Elephas maximus indicus: one gene and its partner. The protein of the gene in region 1 interacts with the protein of each later gene in a biochemical or structural test. Links are inferred from orthologs where the notes say so. Each region holds a gene or a part of one and is shown in the gene's direction. Other genes may lie near its edges. The genes, in order: SCN8A and FGF14.

Evidence for each region.
Region 2: the proteins of SCN8A (region 1) and FGF14 form a complex in vitro, tested with the Homo sapiens proteins (2 studies listed by BioGRID). The link is inferred for Elephas maximus indicus from reciprocal best matches to the Homo sapiens genes SCN8A and FGF14.

What each region holds. Positions count from the first base shown.
Region 1 is NC_064822.1:106,990,169-107,000,973, forward strand, and holds the start of SCN8A (sodium channel protein type 8 subunit alpha), read left to right. Parts: upstream 1-5,899; 5' UTR 5,900-5,996; intron 5,997-6,197; exon of another isoform or gene 6,198-6,328; intron 6,329-10,805. UniProt on the Homo sapiens protein: Pore-forming subunit of a voltage-gated sodium channel complex assuming opened or closed conformations in response to the voltage difference across membranes and through which sodium ions selectively pass along their electrochemical gradient.
Region 2 is NC_064841.1:67,320,141-67,330,793, reverse strand, and holds the start of FGF14 (fibroblast growth factor 14), read left to right. Parts: upstream 1-6,570; 5' UTR 6,571-7,272; coding exon 7,273-7,480; intron 7,481-10,653. UniProt on the Homo sapiens protein: Probably involved in nervous system development and function.

The sequences.
Region 1 (10,805 bases):
TATGCAGCCAACCCAACAGAGGTTTTTCAGACAGAAAGAAGCAGCAAGAGAAGCAAAAGGAAGAGAAAAGAAGCAGAAAAAGAGAGGAGTCAAGGAACCTTCTAAAGGACTATAACATCTGTCGAGGGCTGTAACACTGAAGACGGTGAGAGGCTCAGAAGTGGCTCAGCAGCAGAGCCAGTGGCAACAGGCCCAGAATGGGCCCAGAGACACAGAGCTGGCAAGAACAGATGGCAGGGCCAAAAGGAGCCTGTCCTGAGGGGGCCAAGAGGAGCCTGTCCTCAGGGGGCAGAGAGAAAGCCTGTCCTGAGTGGGCTGAGAGAAGCCTGCCTAGAGTAGCTGAGAGAACTGTCATGAACTGAAGAAGGGAGACTTTGCCTACATGCTTCCTGAATCTGAGTTGTAGCCTATTGATCCTGATCCTGAGCTGCACCGTGTTACTTACTTAATAAACCACTTAACTGTAAGTATGGTCTGTGAGTTCTGTGTGGCTGTTGCAACGGATTATGAAACCCAGAAGAGAACTAGAGTGCCATGGGAGGGACAGCTGGTGTCAGAATTTGTAAAAAGCTTGGAGAGTAGAGGTATGTCTGACCTCTACTTCATAAGGGATCAGCCTTGGGTTGATCTTGATTCTCATTATCCCCCCTGGAGTTAGACAGGTTCTGGTGATGCTACTATTACTATTCCTGCCATTTTAATGGTGAAAAATGGGAAACTTTCCCCTAAGGTCAGGAGCAAAACAAAGATGTCTGTTTTCGCCACTTCTATTCAACGTTGTACTGAAGGTTCTAGCCAGTACAACAGGCAAGAAAAAGGAGTAAGAGGCATGCAGATTGAAGAAGAAGAAAGAAAACTGTTTATCTGCAGATAACATGGTCTATGTAGAAAATCTTAAGGGATCAACAAAAAAACAAACTAGAACTAATAAATAAATTCACCAAAGCTGCAGATACAAGACCAATATACCAAAATTAATTGTATTTCTATATACTACCATAGGGTTGCTGTGAGTTGCAATTGACTTGATGGCAATGGTTTTTTTATATACTACCAAGGGACCACTGGAAGTTGAAATATAAAAATAATGTCATGGATTGAATTATGTTCCCCCCAAATGTGTGTATCAATTGGGCTGGGCCATGATTCCCCGTATTGTGTGATTTTCCTATATGTTGTAAATCCTGACTCTATGGTGTCAATGAGGGAGGACGGGCAGCAGCTGTGTTAGTGAGGCAGGACTCAACCTACAAGATTGGATTGTGTCTTGAGGCAATCTTTTGAGATACAAAAGAAAGAAGTGAGCAGAGAGTCAGGGGGACCTCATACCACCAAGGAAGCAATGTCAGGAGCTGAGAGCATCCTTTGGACCTGGGGTCCCTGCGCCCGAGAAACTCCTCAACTATGGGAAGATTGTGGATGAGGACCTTCCTCCAGAGCTAATAAACAGTTCCCATCGAGCTGACGCACTGAGTTTGGACTTTTAGCCTACTTTACTGTGAGAGAATAAATTTCTCTTTGTTGAAGCAATGCATTTGTGGTATTTCTGTTATAGCAGCATGAAATGACTAAGACAAATACTATGCAATAGCTTAAGCCATGGTATTTTCAATCCCCTCATAAGCACGCTAAAGCTGGACAACGAATAAGTAAGACTGAAGAAGAATTGATGCCTTTGAATTATGGTGTTGGCAAGAATATTGAATACATCATGGACTGCCAGAAGGACAAAAAAATCTGTCTTGGAAGAAATACAGCCAGAATGCCTTAGAAGCAAGGATGGCAAGACTTTATGTCACGTACTTAGGACATGTTATCAGGAGAGACCAATCCCCGGAGAAAGACAACAACCTATACCTTGGTAGAATAGAGGGTCAGCGAAAAAGAGGAAGTCCCTCAATGAGATGGATTGACACAAATGGCTGCAACAATGGGCTCAAAGATAGCGACAATTGTGAGGATGGTGCAGGACTAGGCAGTGTTTCGTTCTGCTGTATATAGGGTTGCTATGAATCAGAACTGACTTAATGGCACCTAACAACAACAACATGCAATAGCATAAAAATATGAAATATTTAGGAATAAATACCACAAAAGATGGGCAAGACCTGTATTATGGATTGAATTATGCCCTCCCCTGCCCCACAAAGATATGTCGAAGTCCTAAACCTGTATCTGTGAATGTCAATGTTTGGGGAGATAGGGTCTTTCTTTGAGGATATTATCAGTTAAGTCATGCTGGAGTAGGATGGGTCCTAGTTCTAATCCTTTCTGAGTAGTGTCTTATAAAAGGAGAGAACAGACATGGAGAGTTACATTGGGGCAAGACAGACGCCATATGGCAATGAAGGCAGGTACATCTATAAGCAGCAAGGGGACACACAGGACTGCCGGCAGTTAGGAGAGAGGCGTAGGATAGCTTTTCTCTCAAAGTCCTCAGGAGGAATTGACATGGGTAATACCCTGATTTGGGCTTCTAGCCTCCAGAACTATGAGAAAATTAGTTTCTGTTCTTTAAAGCCTCCCACTTTGTGGTATTTTGTTGTGGAAGTCCTAAAAACTAAAACAGTATCCTGAAAATTACAAAACAGCATTGAGAGAAGAAAACTGAAATAAATGAAGTGAAATACTATGTTCATAGAACAGAAGGTTCGATTTTGTTAAGATGTCAGTTCTCCTCAAACTGATCTATAAATTCAATGCAATCTTGATCAAAATTCCAGCAGGCTTTTTTGTGGAATCTGACAAACTGATTCTTAAATTCATATGGAAATGCAAAAGACCTAGAATAGCAAAATCAATAATGAAAAAGAAGAACAAAGTTGGAAGGCTTAAACTTTCTGACTTGACAATTTATTATAAAGCTAGAGTAATCAAGACAGGGTGGTATTAGTGTCAAGACAGACAAAGAGATCAATGAAACAGAATAGAGAGTCTAGAAATAGACCTTTACATACATGGTTAATTGATTTTTGGCAGAAGTACAAGGGTAATCAGTGGAAAAAATGATAGTTTTTTCAACAAACAGTGTGAGAACAACTAGATATCCATGCAGGGGAAAAAAAAAAAACTTCAAACTATACCTCACACCATATATAAAAATTAATTCAAAATGCATTATAAAGCTAAATATAAAACTTAAAACTTCTAGAAGAAAACATAGGAAAAATATTTGTAATCTTGGGTTAGGCAAAAATTTCCTAGATACAACAACAAAAGCATCACCCATTGAAGAAAAAATTAATAAATTGGACGTCATAAAAATTAAGAACTTCTGATATCTGACAGTGTTAAGAGAATAAAAAGACAAGCCCAGACTGGGAAACAGCATTTGCAAATAACATATCTGATAAAAGATGTGTATCCAGAATACATAAACACTCTCACAACTCAATAATAACAAAAGAAACAACCAAATTTTAAAAAGCAGGAAAAGAACAGACACTTCACCCAAGAGGCTTTACAGATGGCAAAAAAGCCAATCAAAACCACGACAGGATAATAATACATACCTATATTTTAAAAAGCCAGTTGCCCTTGAGTAGATTCTGACTCATGGTGACCCCATGTGTTTCAGAGTAGAATTATGCTCCGAAGGGTTTTCAATGATTGATTTTTCAGAATTAGATTACCAGGACTTTGTTCTGAGGAGCCTCTAGGTAGACTTGAATAGCCAACCTTTCAATTAGCAGCCACATGCTTCACTGTTTGCACCACCCAGGGACTCCACAGACTTATTAGAATGGCTAAAATTAAAAAACTGACCATACCAAATGTTGGCGAGGATGTGGAACAAGGGAAACTCACATACACTGCTAGTGGCACAACCACTTGGGAAAGCAGTTCAGCGATTAATATGTTAAATATACATCTACAATAGACCCAGTCATGTCATCCCACTCCTAGATATCTTAACCCTAGAGAAATAAAAGCATATGTCTGTACAAAGACTTGCACGCAACTGTTCCTAGCAGCCTTATTTGTGATAGCCCCTGAACCTGTTGCGGTGGAGATTCCGACTCATAGCAACCCTACAGGACAAAGTAGAACTGCCCCATAGGGTTTGCAAGGAGTGCATGGTAGATTAGAACTGCCGACCTTTTGGTTAGCAGCTGAACTCTTAACCACTACGTCACCAGGGTTTCCTTGTAATAGCCACAAACTGGATATAAGGTAAATGTCATCAACAGGTGAATGGATAAACCAATTGTGGTATCTATAACAGAATACTACTCAGCAACAAAAAGGAATGAAATACTGATAGGCAACAACCAAATAATCTCAAAATAATTATGCTGAATGGAAGAAGCCACACAAGAGAGAGTACATACTGTGTGACTCCATTTTATTCAAAGTTTTGGGAAATGCAAACGAATGTACAGTAATAGAAGATGAGAGGTTGCCTGGAGGAGTGTGTGAGGAAGGGTGATCAGGAAGGGATAACCAAGGGGCAAGAGAAACTTTTGGAGGTAACGGAAATGTTTTCTTACTTTGATCATGATGATAGCTTCACACATGTATACGTATGTAAAAACTGTATGTTCTAAATATGTGCAGTTTGTTGCATGTTAATTGTATTTCAATAAAGCTATTAAAATGTGTGCAGTGGGCTCACTACGTGGTAGGCACATCTTGTTGCAGGAGTTGTTATAAGCATGGGATGGACAGTTATCCTCATAATAAACCCATCAGGTTGGTACTGTGGTTGTTCCTTTTTACAGGTAAGAATGCTTAGGTTGTTACATGTCCAAGGCTAACCAGTTAGTAAGTTGTAGCCTGACGGCTCTTACACTCTTAACTGTGAATTTGTGATAGAAAGAAACATCATGTAGAAGAGAGACACAATAAAGTGCTAAGAGTTCTCACATTAATTTATCTAGATCCTCCTAAGCATGGGAAAGCCTGGTAGCGTAGTGGTTAAGTGCTACAGCTGCTAATCAAAAGGTCAGGAGTTCGAACCTGCCAGGTGCTCCTTGGAAACTCTATGGGGCACTTCTACCCTGCCTTACAGGGTCACTATGAGTCGGAATCGATTCGACAGCAGTGGGTTTGGTTTTGGTCCTAAGAGTGTGAAATAGTTTAAGTCCTTGTTCCATAGAGTTTCCAAGAGGCTCCTGGTGAATTCGAACTGTGTACCTTTTGCAGCCATAGCACTTATCACTACGCCACCAGGGTTTCCTGTGCCTACTTTAGAGATGCACAAACTGAGGTTCAAAAAGATTAAGGCGACCTCAACACAACTTCAGGAAACCCTGGTGGCGTAGTGATTAAGAGCCATGGCTGCTAACCAAAAGGTTGGAAGTTCGAATCCACCAGGTGCTCCTTGGAAACCTTATACGGCAGTTCTACTCTGTCCTATAGGGTCGCTACGAGTCAGAATCTACCGGACGGCAATGGGTTTGGTTTTTGGTTTACACATTTCAGACCCGGCGGCTATCAGGGCTGGGCATGGAAGCAGTGTCTCCCAAATCCTCATACCGGGGTCCTGTCCACTGAATCATAAGCCTCCAACTGCTCTTGATAGACTTCTGTGTCTTTTACTTGGTTAAAGATCATGCAAAATGAGTCCCTGGTGTTTACAGAAGTCAGAAACTCCAACAACTGAGCATTGCCAATAGTACTGGGCATTTCCTTCTGTGAGTGCTATTCAGGAAAAAGGTAATATTTGGCATTTACAAGGGTCACAGAGCTTACGAATCAACATAACACCTTTTTGTTTTAAACGCCCAGGTGCCGGCAGACCAACCGCCGGCGTCTCGCAGCCACGTGCCGGCCGGCCCTCAGTCCCGGAGCCCCTCCCGCGCGGCTCGGCGGGGGCGTCAGGGAGGCGGGCCCGGGGACGCTCGCCAGGCGCTCCAGCGCGGCGCCCCCTGCTGGTGCCCTGCTCCCTCGCCCCGGATCCGGTCCTGGCGGCGCGGGGACGCCGGCCTGAGAGCCTGCGAGCGGGTGGACCGGCGGCGCTCTCCGCTGCGGACGAGCGGACGCGCCCCGCTGGGGTAGGTGGGCCCCGGGGGCGCGGGCGGGGGCGGTGAGCGCGCGGGCGGGGGCCGGGGCGAGCAGGGGGCGCGCACGGAGGGTCCACCGCGCGGGGGCGGAGCGGGCGGGCGGGCGGGGGGCCCGGAGGGCGGGGTGCGCGCGCGGTGGCGCGCGGCGGGCGCGAGTCATCAATTATGCAAGGACTCGGGCGGCGCGGGGGGCGGGCGCGGGGAGCGCTCCAAGATGGCGCCCACCGCAGTCCCGCTCGCCGCAGCCCCGGCGCCTCTGCAGTCCGGCTGCACCTCCCGGGCCCCGCGCTAGGGCCGCCGCTGCCTCCCTCGCCGCAGCTGCCGTAAGTCACCCCGGAGCCCCTGCCCCGGCGCTGCTCCTCGCCTGCCGGCTTCCCCTTCTCGCCCCGGGACCCCTGAGCCGGTCTCGCCCACCTCTAGTCAGGGGCTCTGCCGCAGAGTGCGCGGCGGGGCTCGGAGGGCCATCGGCTTTCTGCCCTCCCTGTTTTGGACAGGTGTTTGGAAGCCTTGGTCTCCCTCTACCTTTTTTACCGGGGACCCCTTAGGATAACTGAGGACCACCAGCCCCCATTCCCTGTAAGTCCTCGCTCTCTTCTTGTCTCGACTACACTGGGGGGCACGGGCCTGGCTTCGGCGCCCCTCGGTGCTGCAACCCCCAGCCCAGCCCCCAGTGCCGAGGGGCTGCATCGGGAAGGGCAGCGCTGTCAGAATGTTCTTACAGCAGCCTCTCAGCTCTGTCCCTTCCCCCATGTCTTACTGCATCCATCTCCCTCATTCGGCTCCAGATTGTTAGCAGCTGCAGAAGCCAGGGGCTCCTGGGTTCTATGGGCAACCAGGAGTCCCCCGTCCTTTACTCGGATGCGCCCGTCCCCCGCCCAGCAGGATGCTCGGGGGCTATGTTGGGGCCCCCCCGCCCCGGGACCTTCCTCGGCAGGCCAGGATTCCTGCATTATAGAATACATACACTTTCAGAATATCCCCTTCCCCCACCCCCACCCCCACCCCTACGCCACCCGATGCGGAGCTTATTCCCCTCCTCCTCTCTCCCTTCCATCCCCCACCTACCAGCAGCAGCAGCAGCAGCAGCAGCAGCAGGAGCACTCTGGGCTTCTTGTTAGCGTTAGGGTTACAGGACTGTTTGTCCAGCTCCACGGGCTTCGACCCCTCCTCTCTAGTCCTCTCTTGGAATCTTGGGGGACCGCAAAGTCTCTGCATTTTGCCTGAGAGCTTTGCTCTATCCCCTCAATGCCAGCAGCAACCACCGGTGGAGACTTGCAGTTAACTTTCGGGGGGCGGGGGTTAGCGAGGACTTTGGGACCCCTTCAGGGGCCCTAGCTTTGAGGAGGGGTGGAGTGGGAGTCGTTTTTCAGCCTGATAAATGTAATTATTCAAATCATGCATTCCTTCCAACTACTCCACCCTATGCCCTCATCTTCACTTACACTGCAGTTTTTGAAGCATGGGAGAAGAATACATTTTCCTTCCGGAGGTTCCAACATTCGGCATAAGTGTTCGTAATAAGAGGATGTCATCTGTTTTTTGGGAGGTGGGGGAAATAGAAGAAACTTTGCAGTTGCATCTGGCTAAATTCAGAGGCAAAAAAAAATTCAGAGGGGGGAGAGATAATTACTACGGATCGAGCCCAACCATACAAGGAGAACTGTTTTTAACACACAGTGGGCACCAGAGAAACGGGGATGAAGCACAAAGTGTGGATGAGGGCTTTGGGGGCAAAGGGAGAGAGTGCTTTTTATAACTGTTTTCTCAAGTTTGAACCTGGAGAGCCTTTAGAGAGTTAAGTGTGTGTCAGGGCTGGGGAATATTTTAGCTTTCCAAGGGGATTCCAGGTAGGCTTTTCACTGTCTCACAATCTCTGTACTTCTCTTTTCTCCATGTGTGTTAGCAGATATGAAGGGGGCTTTACCCCACTCATTAACTTTTTTTTTCCGATGTGTAATGCAAATGGCTGGATAACATTACCACCTGGTACCACCCTGTCAGGAATCTCAGGAGAATAAGACTTAAAATGCTGAAAGCTTTGTAGCACATTGCCTGTAACCTGGTTCTTGAAATACTGCAGCATTTTTTCTTTGGAACTCATGACCCATAAGGCCTTCAGTTCTCTCTGAAAGAGGATTTGATTGCTTGAGAGGGAGGTGGTAATGGTGGTTTGGTGTGCAGCAAGCATTCTCTGTCCTAGAAATTAAAGCTCTCCTTGGAGAGGGCTGCAAGCATGTTCTGTGTTCTCTGAACATCTGATTCATGGTGTATATAAATATGCTATGTTTCTTAGTTGTGGGTATTGCAAAGCAAATCTTGATGTTGCAGGTCAGTTATTGGTTTCCTGGGTTCAGTTTGAGAAAAGAGGCTGACTTAATATGTCTTTGGTTCTTATTTGGGGTTTTGTCGACTTTCAATAAAATATTTGGGAGATTTTACTTTAAGTTAATAAAGGCCAATGAAGTGGAATATGGCATACTGAAACAGCCATGCAATTGCTTGCAGCTTTCCTTTTGGGACCCTTTGCAAAATGTTCTCGTGGCCCAGCTGTGGATGCCTGTGCTTAGGCTCGTGCTAGGGTTTCTGGCCGTAGTGCTGAACGGACAGTTCCCTGGTTAGCACTGTGGTGAGGTGCTCAGTGTTGGACTTGATCTGGGTTTTCCTTTGTTTTTATTACCCGCAGATTTTCCTGTGGATGTGTGTGTGTGTGCATGCGCACTTGGGTTTGTATTTGTGGTTGAAGGCATAGTTATCATATTTTATTACTCCCACATAACTTCATTTTGGCTGTCCCTCATGGAGACAATGTTTTGCAGACTGCAGCAGATCCATATGTAAGTCATACAATGACATTTTGCTGACAGCATTATTTCAGCACATTTCAATAACTTCAAATAGCAGGAAACTGTTAATATTATGGGAATTTTTTCCCCATGAAGAAGTAATTATAATTAGCTCGCTAAATTAAGCTGGGATCAGAAGGGCATCTTTCCTGGGTTGATTTGAACAGTGAGCTGGGAAAGAGGCTCATATAAGAGGCCAGTGTGTGATCCATTGTATCATAAAAGTAGATTTGTCACAAAATTTCTTTTAAAATCATAGAAAGGGGGGCTGTAAAATTGAGCTTGTACAACCACCCACCCAGCACAGGAATCCCTTCTATAGGAAATTTCTGCTTTGAATATTTCCACCGAGAGGGAAGTCACTACCACATAAGACGGATCATTCCATTTGGGGTCCACTGTGATCGAAGCACTTTAATCTCATTTAACATGAAGTTAAAAGACATATCAGTTGGGGCTATACCAGGGGCAAATGTCATTCTTGTGACGATTACCAGGAAAAGGTTGAGAATTGATGTTCTGTAGAGATTACACAAGAAACCCACACCTGCTTGAAGAGAATGCAAAGAGACATGCCCACCTAAAAGCAGGAAAAACATTCCATGAATGGAAGACAATGTCTTTAATGTACTGATATTATGTAACAAGTTGTTCTGGAAGGCACACACATGAATTAATATTTAATTTCTGTAGATTATATCTAACAAAACCAAAAAAACCAAACCCCCTGCCGTTGAGTTGATTCCGACTTATAGCGACCCTGTAGGACAGAGTAGAACTGCCCCATAGAGTTCCCAAGGAGCGCCTGGCGGATTCGAACTGCTGGCTCTTTGGTTAGCAGCCATAGCACTTAACCACTATGCCACCAGGGTTTCCATTTTTTTGGTTTGCATACAAAGTGTTAAAAATAACAAAGTTTATCTAGTGTGAGATCAGTTACCATATTTTTTATAAAAATAACATATACTTCAGAAAATTTTTAATGTGTCTAAAAACAGAGGGAGTCATCCTTAGTATTATCCGTCCTAACCAAAGCAGTTGTTCATGTTTTGTTGTATTTCTTCAGTCTTTTTTGCCATAGAGAGGACAAGAAGCACTTGCAACAAGTTATTCAGAAAGACAGTATTTTAAAACAGAGCCTTTTAAACTCTTAAGCTCATAGTCCACTAGTTAATTGTTTTGGGTCTTAAACAATAGATTATTTTGCATCCATTTACTTTTTTCTTAATCCTTTAAAAAAATTTTCCAAAACAACCATCTTTAATGTCACAGAATTCATTCATAGAATTGGACTCCATAAATTGAATTCGTAAAATTTAAATTTAGCAACTTAACTAGTGAAATAAAAAAAAAAAAAAACTTAATCACTGAATCACCAAATAGTGTCACTTTGCACCTACTTCTATAAAGCATCATGTTAGGCACTGATGCTTTTTTAAAATGGCAAGAACCAGCTTAGAACATAATACCATGCTCAAAAACTATAGCTATTAAAGTGTTAAAGGGAAGAAACAGAACCTTCACCTTTTAGATTTATTTATTGCTGAAATGTTGTATGGCAAGCAGATTATTAGGTATAGTCCAGCGATTTAACCTGAAAAAAAAAAAAAAACATAGTTTGTACAGGAATGGGAAGTAAATGCAGGAAAAGGAAAGGCAAAGAAGGCTTCTGGAAAATTTTTCTCTATGCATTTATGAAGTGTTAGAGACAAAACCAGAACATACAGTGAAGTACTATGTCAGGAATTAAGATGATATGAAGACCCAAGAAGGTTGCCATAGTTACACCATGGCAAAGAAAAAGTCAGAGGCAGTATGGGCTTTGCAGTTAGACAAAACTAGGTTCAAATCTTGACCCTACTACTTATTAGCTTTGTGACCTTGGGCATGTTATTTAATCTCTCCGAGCTTCAGTGTTCTCATCTATAGAAATAAGAGTAATAATACCTACCTTGCA
Region 2 (10,653 bases), on another chromosome or scaffold:
GTAAGAGTTTCCAAGAAGCGCCTGGCGGATTTGAACTGCCGACTTCTTGGTTAACAGCTGTAGCACTTAACCACCGGGCCACAGAGAAAGTCTTTTTTCTACAGCTGGTGCCCTGAATTTGAACACTAGCCTCCTAAACTGCAAGAAAATTAATTGTTTGTTAAAGCCATCCAATTGTGTTATTTCTGTTATAACACCACTAAGACACCACCCAAGTAAGACTTTGTATCTGGAGAGTAGGCATATTTACCCAGAAACTCTGCCTTCCTTATTAAACACTGTCTTCACTGAGTTCCCCAGAGGACAAAGATTCTAGTGCAACTAGGTTATTTGGCAGGGAATACAGGTAGGTAAGTAGTTGTCATTGATTGAATTGTGCTCCTCAAATATATGTGTTGTAAATCCTAACCTCTATACTTGTTGGAGCCCTGGTGGCGCAGTGGTTAAGCATTCGGCTGCTAACCAAAAGGTCAGCAGTTCAAATCCACCAGCTGCTCCTTGGACACCCTATGGGACAGTTCTGTTCTGTCCTATAGGGTTGCTATGAGTTGAAATCAACTAGATGGCAACAGGGTTCTTTTTTTTTTTTTAATTTTATATCTGTTAATGTAAACTCTTTTGGGAATAGGGTTTTCTTTGTTACCTTAATGACAAAGTGTAGGGTATGTTTGAAACTAATCACTTTTGAGATATAAAAAGAACAGATTAGTCCCAGAAGAAAGCAAGCACAGATGGGGGAAGACAGATGACACAACTCTTGAAAATGGCCAAGGAACTGAGGAACAGAAACTGAAAAGAGCCAAGGACCTTCCCCCAGAGCCTACAGAGAGATAAAGCCTCCCCCTAGAGCCAGTGCCCTGTTACAGCAGCACTAAGAAACTAAGGCAGTAGGGAATTGATACAAGCAAGGGGAGAGAGCCAACAGAGAATGTGTTGTTTAGGCAGCTAACCCAGTGGGAGACTGTATTTTAATCCCTCAGGGAAACCGGGAAAGGATGTAAAACACATGCCTCCTAATTACCCCTCCCAAGGGGCAAGGAACGCAGGGCCTTTAGTCATTGAGGAATTCTCCCAGGGAATGTTAATTTCCAGGTCTTTCTGGCCTCTGTGAGTGCCTGGGCATAGGGTTGTTTGGACGAAAAAATCCCTCAGGTTCAGAGATGGAGATACTGATCAGAGCACACTGATAGGGTAGATAAAAGTGTATGTGTGGGGCATTGAAGATGTCTGCTACCAGCCCCAATAAAGGGTCGGAGAGAGATTGCTCTTCTCATCTGCTTCTCGAAGGCAGGCCTTGGGTACTGTGCCTAACCCAACTCTTCCCATGTAGAGAAAAAGCAGGCAGATGACAAAGAGAAGAGGGGCTGGGCCACCTCAGTTAATTCCTGCTGTCTTGAGAAGTTGGCAGGGGGAAGAGAAAAGGGCTACACTTACCTTCCCAGACTGTTCCTTCCAGGAGAGAGGAGCAGAGGTTTTCTGTGCTACGGGTCAGTCAACGTTGCAACAGGGAGAGAAAGCAGTATAAAAAAATAGTGATGTGAAATTTAGATTTGCTCCTCAAAAAGTGATAATAATTAGCACCAGTTGTAGAGAAGAATGGAAATCCTGGTGGCGTAGTGGTTAAGAGCTACAGCTGCTAATCAAAAGGTTGGAGTTCAAATCCACCAGCTGCTTCTTGGAAACCCTCTGTGGCAGTTTTGCAGCAGTTCTACTCTGACCTATGGGGTCACTATAGAGAAGGAATGTGTGTGCCAGAAACAAAAGTTTTCATCTTTTTTAAACGAGTTAAATATAGACACTGAGGTCCTTGTATACAAGTTGGTCTTCTTTTTGTATTTCTATAGTCCAAACCGTACGGGGCCGTTCTACTCTGTCCTATAGGGTCATTATAAGTCAGAATCCACTTGATGGCAATGGGCTTGGTTTTTATGGTTTGGACTTATGGCGACCCCACACACAATGGAAAGAAATACTGCCCAGTCCTGCGCCATCCTCATGGTTGGTTGGGGATCAGACCGTTGTGATCCATAGGGTTTCCATCCATAGGATTTTCAGAAGTAGATGGCCAGGCCTTTCTTTCTAGTCTGTCCTAGTCTGGAAGCTTTGCTGGAATCTGTTCAGAATCATAGCAATCTGCAAGACTCCACTGAGAGATGAGTGCTGGCTGCACATGAGGTGGAAATCACACTGGATTAAACCTGGTCTCCTGCATGGAAGGCGAGAATTCTACCACTGAACCGTCACTGCCCCCAAAGCTGTGGGTTATAAGTTATATCCTTTTAAAATAAGTAAAAAAAAACCGAGATACAAGTATGTTATTAATACCAGGCCAGTATATAAGATAGTGGAGAGGATGAACCGTTGTATCAAGTTCAGACAAAAATACAGAGGATCAACTAAGATACAAGCTTATTTCCCTGTCACATAGTAGTCCACAGGTAGGTGGGCAGTCCAGGATAAGGGATGGCTCTGTCCAAGGTCCTAGGTTTCTCCTATCTTGACACTTCACAGTTTCTGAGTTTGTGTTTCTGTCCACGCTGTCAATCCCAGTAATTTCCAGCTCACAGGAAGGATGAAAGAGAGAAGCGATAGGCAAGCAACTTCCTCTGAAGAATGTGGCCAGGAAGTTGAACATATCACTTCTGCTACATCTCGCTGGTCATAATTTAGTCACATGGCCACACTTAGCTACCATGGAAGATGGGAATGATATTCTCTACCTTAGAACCCAAGTTCTTGCTCTTCCAGCTGTGGTGGGATAGTGTTTTACTACTAAAGGAAGAAAGGAGGAGTAAGAATTGGGGACAATTGGAGCATGCTAAGATAGTTTCAAAGATTTTTGATGGCTAATCTCATTAGAGTTCACATTTCCTATTTTAAAATAAAATGTATGTTCTATTGTTTCATGAAGTTCTAGTCATTACACTTATTTCTAGCTTGGTTTACTTGCATATGAAGATAATTTTAATTTTTAAATTAATGTGATTATGAGTTTATTTTATTTTAGCCCGTGAAAATGCAGTCTTATATATTTTTCTACTTATATACACTACAAATTTTACTGTCAATTTGTATGGTTACCATGAGGCTTTCCTGATCCTATTTTTACTTTCGTCCATTCTAAAACTTGCATTTACTTTTTAATTGTTTTCATTTCTGTCATCTAATATTGATTTGAATGTGTCATGGCAAAGGGTAAGCAAACGTTTTAATGTCTTCCCAAACAAAACCTGATTGACTGTCTGGAACTCAGGTTGGTGTAAATACAAGTACCTTTGGACCATCCCTAATCTGGAGGCCCCAGAAACTAGGGTTGGCTCTACACCACCCTTGATCTTCTTTATTGTGTAACTATGACTGATACATCTTAATGTCTAGCATGAAATCTCATACAGTTACCATCACATTAAAAAAAAAAAAAAAAACAAACCCATTGCTGTTGAGTCGATTCCAGCTCATAGTGACCCTATAGGACAGGGTAGAACTGCCCCATAGCATTTCCAAGGAGTGGCTCCTGCCTTCAAATGGCCAACCTTTATGGCAGTTCTACTCTGACCTATAGGGCCACTATAGAAAAGGAATACGTGTGTCAGAAACAAAAGATTTCATCTTTTTAAAAGAGGTAAATATAGACAGTGAGGTCCTTGTATACAAGTTGGTGTTCTTTTTCTATCCCTAGTAAAAACCCTACCTTTATTCTGTCCTATAGGGTCCTTATAAGTCAGAATCCACTGACAGCAAAGGGTTAACCACTGCACTTCCGGGGCTCCTACCTTCACATGGTAGAAAGCTTAATAAATATTAATTGAATAAGTGAACTGGGCCACTTAGAACCCATGAGAAATTGTAGGTCCTCTGAACCAAAGGTAACCGGAATTGGTGTTACACACCTTTTCTGGACTGAAATATTACTTTAATAATGTGAATAATAGCCTACAAAACATACCTAAATTTTTCTCTTAAATATGACCCAGACCAGACCCAGTGCCATCGAGTTGATTCCGACTCATAGTGACCCTATAGAACAGAGTAGAACTGCCCCATAGAGTTTCCAAGGAGTGCCTGGCGGATTTGAACTGCCAACCCTTTGGTTAGCAGCCGTAGCACTTAACCACTACGCCTCCAGGATTTTCCCAGTAGGTATATAAAAGGAAATTTTTGCGCATTGCAATAAAATTTTTCTCTTTCCTTTAAGTGGTATAAAAAATAAGAATCAACTAATGCAGTGCCTGGCACAAAAGCTTCTCAATAAATAGTAGTCACAGTTAATTATTGCTTATGTTCTGTAGGTTACAGGACAAAGAGGAAATAAGTTTTCCACCAGTATACTACAAAACAAACCATAGCTTTCTGGCACTCATTCATTATTTTAATAGGCAACTTATTCATTTTCACAATGTAGAAATGAGACAAGAATTTGGGAATGCAAGAATAATTTGACTAAGAAATAGTGTCTTTGGATAAATTTAGCATATAAAAAGACCCAATACTTATAGAACATGATTTAAAGCTTTACTCAGGTGAAATACATCAGGCAACTCAACAAGGCTCACAGAACCCCAGAGCTGGGTGGATACAGTTCAGAAGACCTGAACAGGGGAATAATTTTTATTCAACTGTTTCTCTGGCATATGTATATGTTCAGAAGTAATATGCTGGGATATTCTGGAATCCCCTACAGGACACCAGAATGTTATAGAAGCGGCATATGGTAATTGTCCCTGATTGATTGATATACAAATTCTTTCCCTAATTATTTGGTAATGGTATTCTATTTTTCATCTTTCAGAAAATAATTCTGGTCATTTTTTTTATTCAGTCCACTTCTTATTGGGAAGTCATTTGGCATTAAAGTCATATATTCTCAGCATTCCTTCTTTCTTTACTTCCCAAACTTTAATCAGACTGCAGTGAATTTTAGTAATTTCTTTGAACTGTTCGAAACCCTGGTGGTGTAGTGATTAAGAGCTAGGGCTGCTAACCAAAAAGGTCAGCAGTCCAAATCCACCAGGTGCTCCTTGGAAACTCTATGGGGCAGTTCTACTCTGTCCTATATGGTTGTGATGAGTCGGAATTGACTGAAACAGGTTTTTAAGGTTTTTTTGGTTGGCACAAGTCTTTTGGCACATCAAGACCATCGACATTAGAAGTTCAGCATGCTTTTTAAATACTAGAAAAAGCCATCGATAGGAAAGTTGTTAATTACATTTTCATTTTTTAACATCTGATAATCAAGGAGTTACTTTTCTTTAAAATTATTCTCTTCTCTCAGTCTCCAACAACGTAAATCTACAGCTACATCTATTATAGAGTGGTATGATATGCCATGTAGAAGAGGCAGCGCTTTTAAGATTTGTAATTCAGATGGACTTTCTAAAATATATTTTAAATGAGAGTTAAAATTTTCTTCCAGTTTTCCCATAAAAATGGAAGAATGCTGGTATAACTTTAATTCATTCACCCAGAGTGAGTGAGAATGGTCACCACTGCTTCTCCAAAACCATTGGCTCACAACAGTGCTGGTGTTTAATAATTTTGAGTTTAGATATGCTGGAGTTAATTACAATACTTTTTGTAATAGTTTGCATGACCGTATGCATTGTAATTTTTCCCAAATAAAATAAACCAGTAACTCGGCCCGAAATCCTTTAATTTGGGGGGAAAGCAGTAAAATGGATGTTGGTGAAAATTTTGTTAGGCTATTGGCAGACAACAAGGTTGCAATATTGACATAAATGAGAAGTAAACGAAGGTGAGTTTAATGCTAGTTCAATTAATGGATACAGAAACAAGCAATGAAGTAGGATTTGATTTAAGCCGAGTTCTTTCTGTACAAAATATTTGAAGACAATGGGTAGTTGGACTAGAAAAGGCATATATTTCTCATGTGAATCTGACCCTCCCCACCAAAATAGAGTTGACCCCAACATATTAGTGGTTTCCCTTTAAGCAGGCTGTTTATCGACATAAATATTTGCCATATACCTAGCTTATATTTTTCAAACCACACAGCAAAGTATGATTCAAATAATAAGAATTAAAGGAACTTGCAAGGACTTCCCTTAATGTTTCCGAGGTGCTTTTGAGAATGTAAAGGTGGAATTAATTTTGGCCATGTGGAGTGGTGTTACACTCCAGCTTCTCTTTCTTTTCCCCCAAACATTCATTTTCTAAGGTTTACTGATTATAGTTGTTAATTTTTCTTTCTAAAGCCTCAGCAGAAGGCTCTGTTAGTTTGGCTCCAAGAGGAAACGGCGGGCAGATCCGGGCTTGGCAGAAGAGGGGAGAGGGTCGAGCGCTGGGGCTGGGCTGGGTGCTGGCGGGTGGGGAGCCTGAGAGGCCCGGAGCACAGAGACTGCAGTGACGCTGCCCTCCCCGGGCTGGTTGGAGCATCTCACTGGTGACGGGTCTGAAAGCACGTGGCTACGTCATGGAAAGCCAGTCTTTTCAATGCAAACTTCAACTCCTCCTCCTCCTCCCTCTAATGCCTGTAACTCACAGCCGAGGCTGGCGAGATCCGGAGGGGGATTTTCCTCGTGCTCACCGGTGGTGGAAAGCGGCCGAGGGAGAGGAAGGAGGAAGGGGGTCTGTGGCGCTCTCTGCCAGCCTGCTACCCGCTTAACAAGGGGAGGGGGCACCCAGACTGGCCTCTTTTCTTCGTGGGGATTGAGAACTGCAGGTTCAATCCGATCCTACTCATCACTGGAGATTGATTATTAAAAAAAAAAAAAAAACGACACTTGGAGAAAGGAGGCTCTGTCTTCGGCTGTCAGACTCAGTCTCCGAGGTGGTATTGGTGTGTGTGTGTGTGGTGGCTTTTCTTCCCCCCCCCTTTTTTTCTTTCTTTTTTCTTTCTCCCTTTCTTTTTTCTTTTCTTTTATTCCCCCCTCCTTTTTTTCTTTTTCCTTCTCTCCTAGGGACTACACAATGGCAGCCTTCTCTCAGTAAGATGAGTCCTGCTTTGGCTTCTGCAGATGGACCCATCCTCACAGCGACCAAGTAAAAGGCTATGGTTGTCTCTTTGGGGATCTTTTGTGCATTACTGTTCTCTCTGATTAGTTTTGGCCTCAGTTGGGATTTCTTTGCTTTTTTGTTTGGCTTCATGCTGAAAAAGGATTTTTTTTCCAACCCTTCGGTAATAATCCAGTGGTGATCAAGGGGGATAAGTCATTCACCCTGGCCGAAAAAAAACAATCACTGAGAAGTCTCAAAGAAATATACCACGTGAGGGGAGAAAACTGGGAGAAGATCCGGAATATTACCGTTTTTCCTATGGTAAAACCGGCGCCCCTCTTCAGGAGAACTGATTTCAAATTATTATTATGCAACCACAAGGATCTCTTCTTTCTCAGGGTGTCTAAGCTGCTGGATTGCTTTTCGCCCAAATCCATGTGGTTTCTTTGGAACATTTTCAGCAAAGGAACGCATATGCTGCAGTGTCTTTGTGGCAAGAGTCTTAAGAAAAACAAGAACCCAACTGGTAAGCAAAACATGCCTCATGTTATGTTTTTCCTCATTATAACCTGTCTGTTGCTCATGGAGCTAGCTCTGCAGTTCTGCTATGCAGGCAGGCAGGCAGGGGAAACATAAATGGAACCAGGACCGTGTTGCATATAGAGCTGTTGCATGAATAATCAAGTTACAGCTGGATGGGCGTCTGTGAACCCGAAAACCATTATCAGCATCTCTTGGCTGTGACACAATCCATCACTAGGAGGGAGGAGGAAACTTTTTCTTTTCTTTCTTTCTTTCTTTTTTTTTTTTAATGTATTTGGTTGCCTATGTTCGGTGGAATATTCAAGGGCTATGGCTTAAGGTTTCTGCCCCAGACAGCCGAAGCTTTTGGTAGTTGGCAGGAAGAAGAACCGGAGTTTTCCTGACTTCTGCTGCAGGTTCGGAGACATAGCTCGGTGCTGGGAATCTGCTCTAGACTTTCTGGCTAGCTTGCACAATATTCGCCACCCCGATCACCTTTACCAAAGTAAAAGAGGCCCCCTCCCTCGTGTCCCCGCTCCTCCGTCAGCCCCCGCCTCCCTCCCCCGTCTGGCTCTCTGTGCCCAAGTATTAACTCATTCCCCGGGTCTGCCCCTGACACGTCCTGCTACTGGGAATACTGGAGCAGGGTTTGTGCCCGGAGGGAAACCCAGACCGGGTAGACAAGTCCAGCCCCTCTAATATGTGTAATTTAAATTTTCCTTTTAAAAAGCAGTATCAAAACTGTGCCTCCGGGCCCGGGAGTCCTTGCTTTAGGGTGCGGGTGATCATGCGCCCCGATTCCAAAGGGCTCCAAAGGGGAAACTTGGAGTACATTACATAAGAAATGCAAATACAGGTGATTCGGGGAGTCGGATCCCAGGGGCTCACTTTCCTGTATCGCAGTCTGAAGCGTTTGGGGGCGGCCGCGTAGCGGTGGGAGAGCAAGCCGGGGGAGGGGAGGCGGGAGGACTGCGTGGTGGCGGCGGCGGCGCCGGCGAGGAGCTGGGCGCAGCCTTCCCGGAACCGGCACGCACTGGCAGCGGGCGGCGTGTGGCGCCCCCCCGGCTGCGTCCAGGGTGGGGAGGACCTGGGGCCGAGCGCTGGGGTTTGGGGCTGTACTGGGGGAGGGGACGGTCGGGCGGCCGTCCTGCAGTGGCGGCCCGGGCGCTGGAGGCTCCTGACGCTGGCACTGCGGTGTAGTAGATCATAGCTCTCCGCTGGCTCCCTGACACCCGGAGCCCAGCCGGGGCCGCCTGGCACCCGGAGCCCCAGCGACTGGGCAGCAAGTGGCTGCTGCCTCCCATCCTCCGAGTCTCGCAAATGCCACGTAGCTCGGTGGTGCGCTGGGTGGGGGCTGCCGCCTCGGGGTGCAGCGGGAGGGAGAGGAGGAGGTGTAGGGGGCCGGGGTGCAGGCGGCGGTGTGAAGCCTGGGCACCCTTTGCGGCCACCGCTTCTGCAGCAAAAGGGAAACTGTGAGTTGTTGGACCGTCCAAAAGGACCGAAGCTCGCCGGCTCGGGCGGAGGACGCCTGGCAACGGCCGGAGCTGGAAGCAGCCTCTGCCGCCCGCGGGCCCCGTGCTGCAGTGGGCTCTTGGCCTCTGCCCTGGAATTCTCCTTTGTGTCTAGCTTTCCTCTCCACCGCCTTCCTAGCCATCCTTCTCTGTTCCCTCCTCCTTCCCAGCACCCTGTCCTTTTACCCTTCTCTTTCTTAACTGTCAGCGATTAGCAACTCTGAAATGATACCCTCAGCCTAAGAATTACTCAAGGAGAGAGCAATGTTACCGCCTTACCGTTCACATTTCTAGTGTAGCTGTGAGGTGTACCCCAACGCCTGGCATCAGACCTAGCACTTGCTGATGGCTGGTCATAAAAACCCGGTGTCCATCTATAACGCCATCCTACAACTTACTGTGAGGACCCTTTATTCAAGATTCCCTGAAGTGGGGTTGCAGTTGCAAGGGAGGGGTAACTCCTTCCCAGGACAGAAATACTGGTTTTGGAAGTCTTCTTGAGTCTTTCTGTGAAGAGATCTAGCTCATTCAGAGAAAGAAATACTGTGAAAAACACTTTTTTTTTTTTTTACGCTTGGCCATTTGTCTAGGGACCTTGAGGTCAGTCCTTCCATAGTCCTGGAGAGTGAGAAATAATTCAGCACACAACAGTGAGTTTTTTTGCTGGTCTTTATGGCTTTCTTTCTTTCTTTCTTTGTAAACAGTTTTGCTGGAAACATTAATTTCCCCCTACACATGATCCAAGATCTTTTTATTACACCTCCCCCACCCCACCCACTTTCATCTCTCTGGAAGAAAGCAGATTTCTTTTTTTTCCAAGTCGTTTTGGAAGGTGTCAAACAAATGACAAACTATTCTCAGAGCAATTTATTTTGCAGCTTATGGGTACTAAAGGACTTGGGTGTGAATTGATGGGTTAATTCAAAGTGTGTCTAACAACATCACCAACTCTTCCTAATACAATGGTGTAGCCTTAGAGTGCCAGAGATTAGAATTCTAACTTGAGAGTTGGGACATTTAGTAACTATTTCTTAAATGGGACATTAATGTGTCAGGCAATTTATCTCACCTTCTAAACGTTTTTGCCTCCCAAGCTTGAATCAAACCCATACCTAGCCATCCCCTTTCAGCATTGTACTTGATGAGATCCGTTCCCCTTTTCCTATTAAAATGAAACCTAGAATCGTTTGCAGGTTTTTGATCCCAAGATAGCAGTACAACTAAGACAGTAATTGATTGGGTAATTAAAACACAACAAAGACCAAACTCCTCTTAACTGTTAAAACCAAAAAGAACAGATTGACTGCTACCTATTATGCTATCATAAGTCTAAAAAGGTGACAATTAACTGGTTTCCAACTGCGAGTTGGTAGAATACTGCCAAGTACCACTACTGTGATCATGAACTCGATGTAAAACAACTTACTATTTCAGCGATAAATGCTAGATTAATTTTTCTCCCCGATCTTTGAAAGTTATGGGATAATTTACCAGTTAATCCCAATTCTTTACATTATGGATAAGTATGGGTGGTTTGGACCAAGGTTCCTGGGAGGAACTTCAGAGCACTGCTATATAATCATGTTGGTATGAAAAAATCAAGTAACAGAGTCATGAATTTAAGGGCAAAATTATTCATCCATCCAAAAGTTATTAATTAACTCCA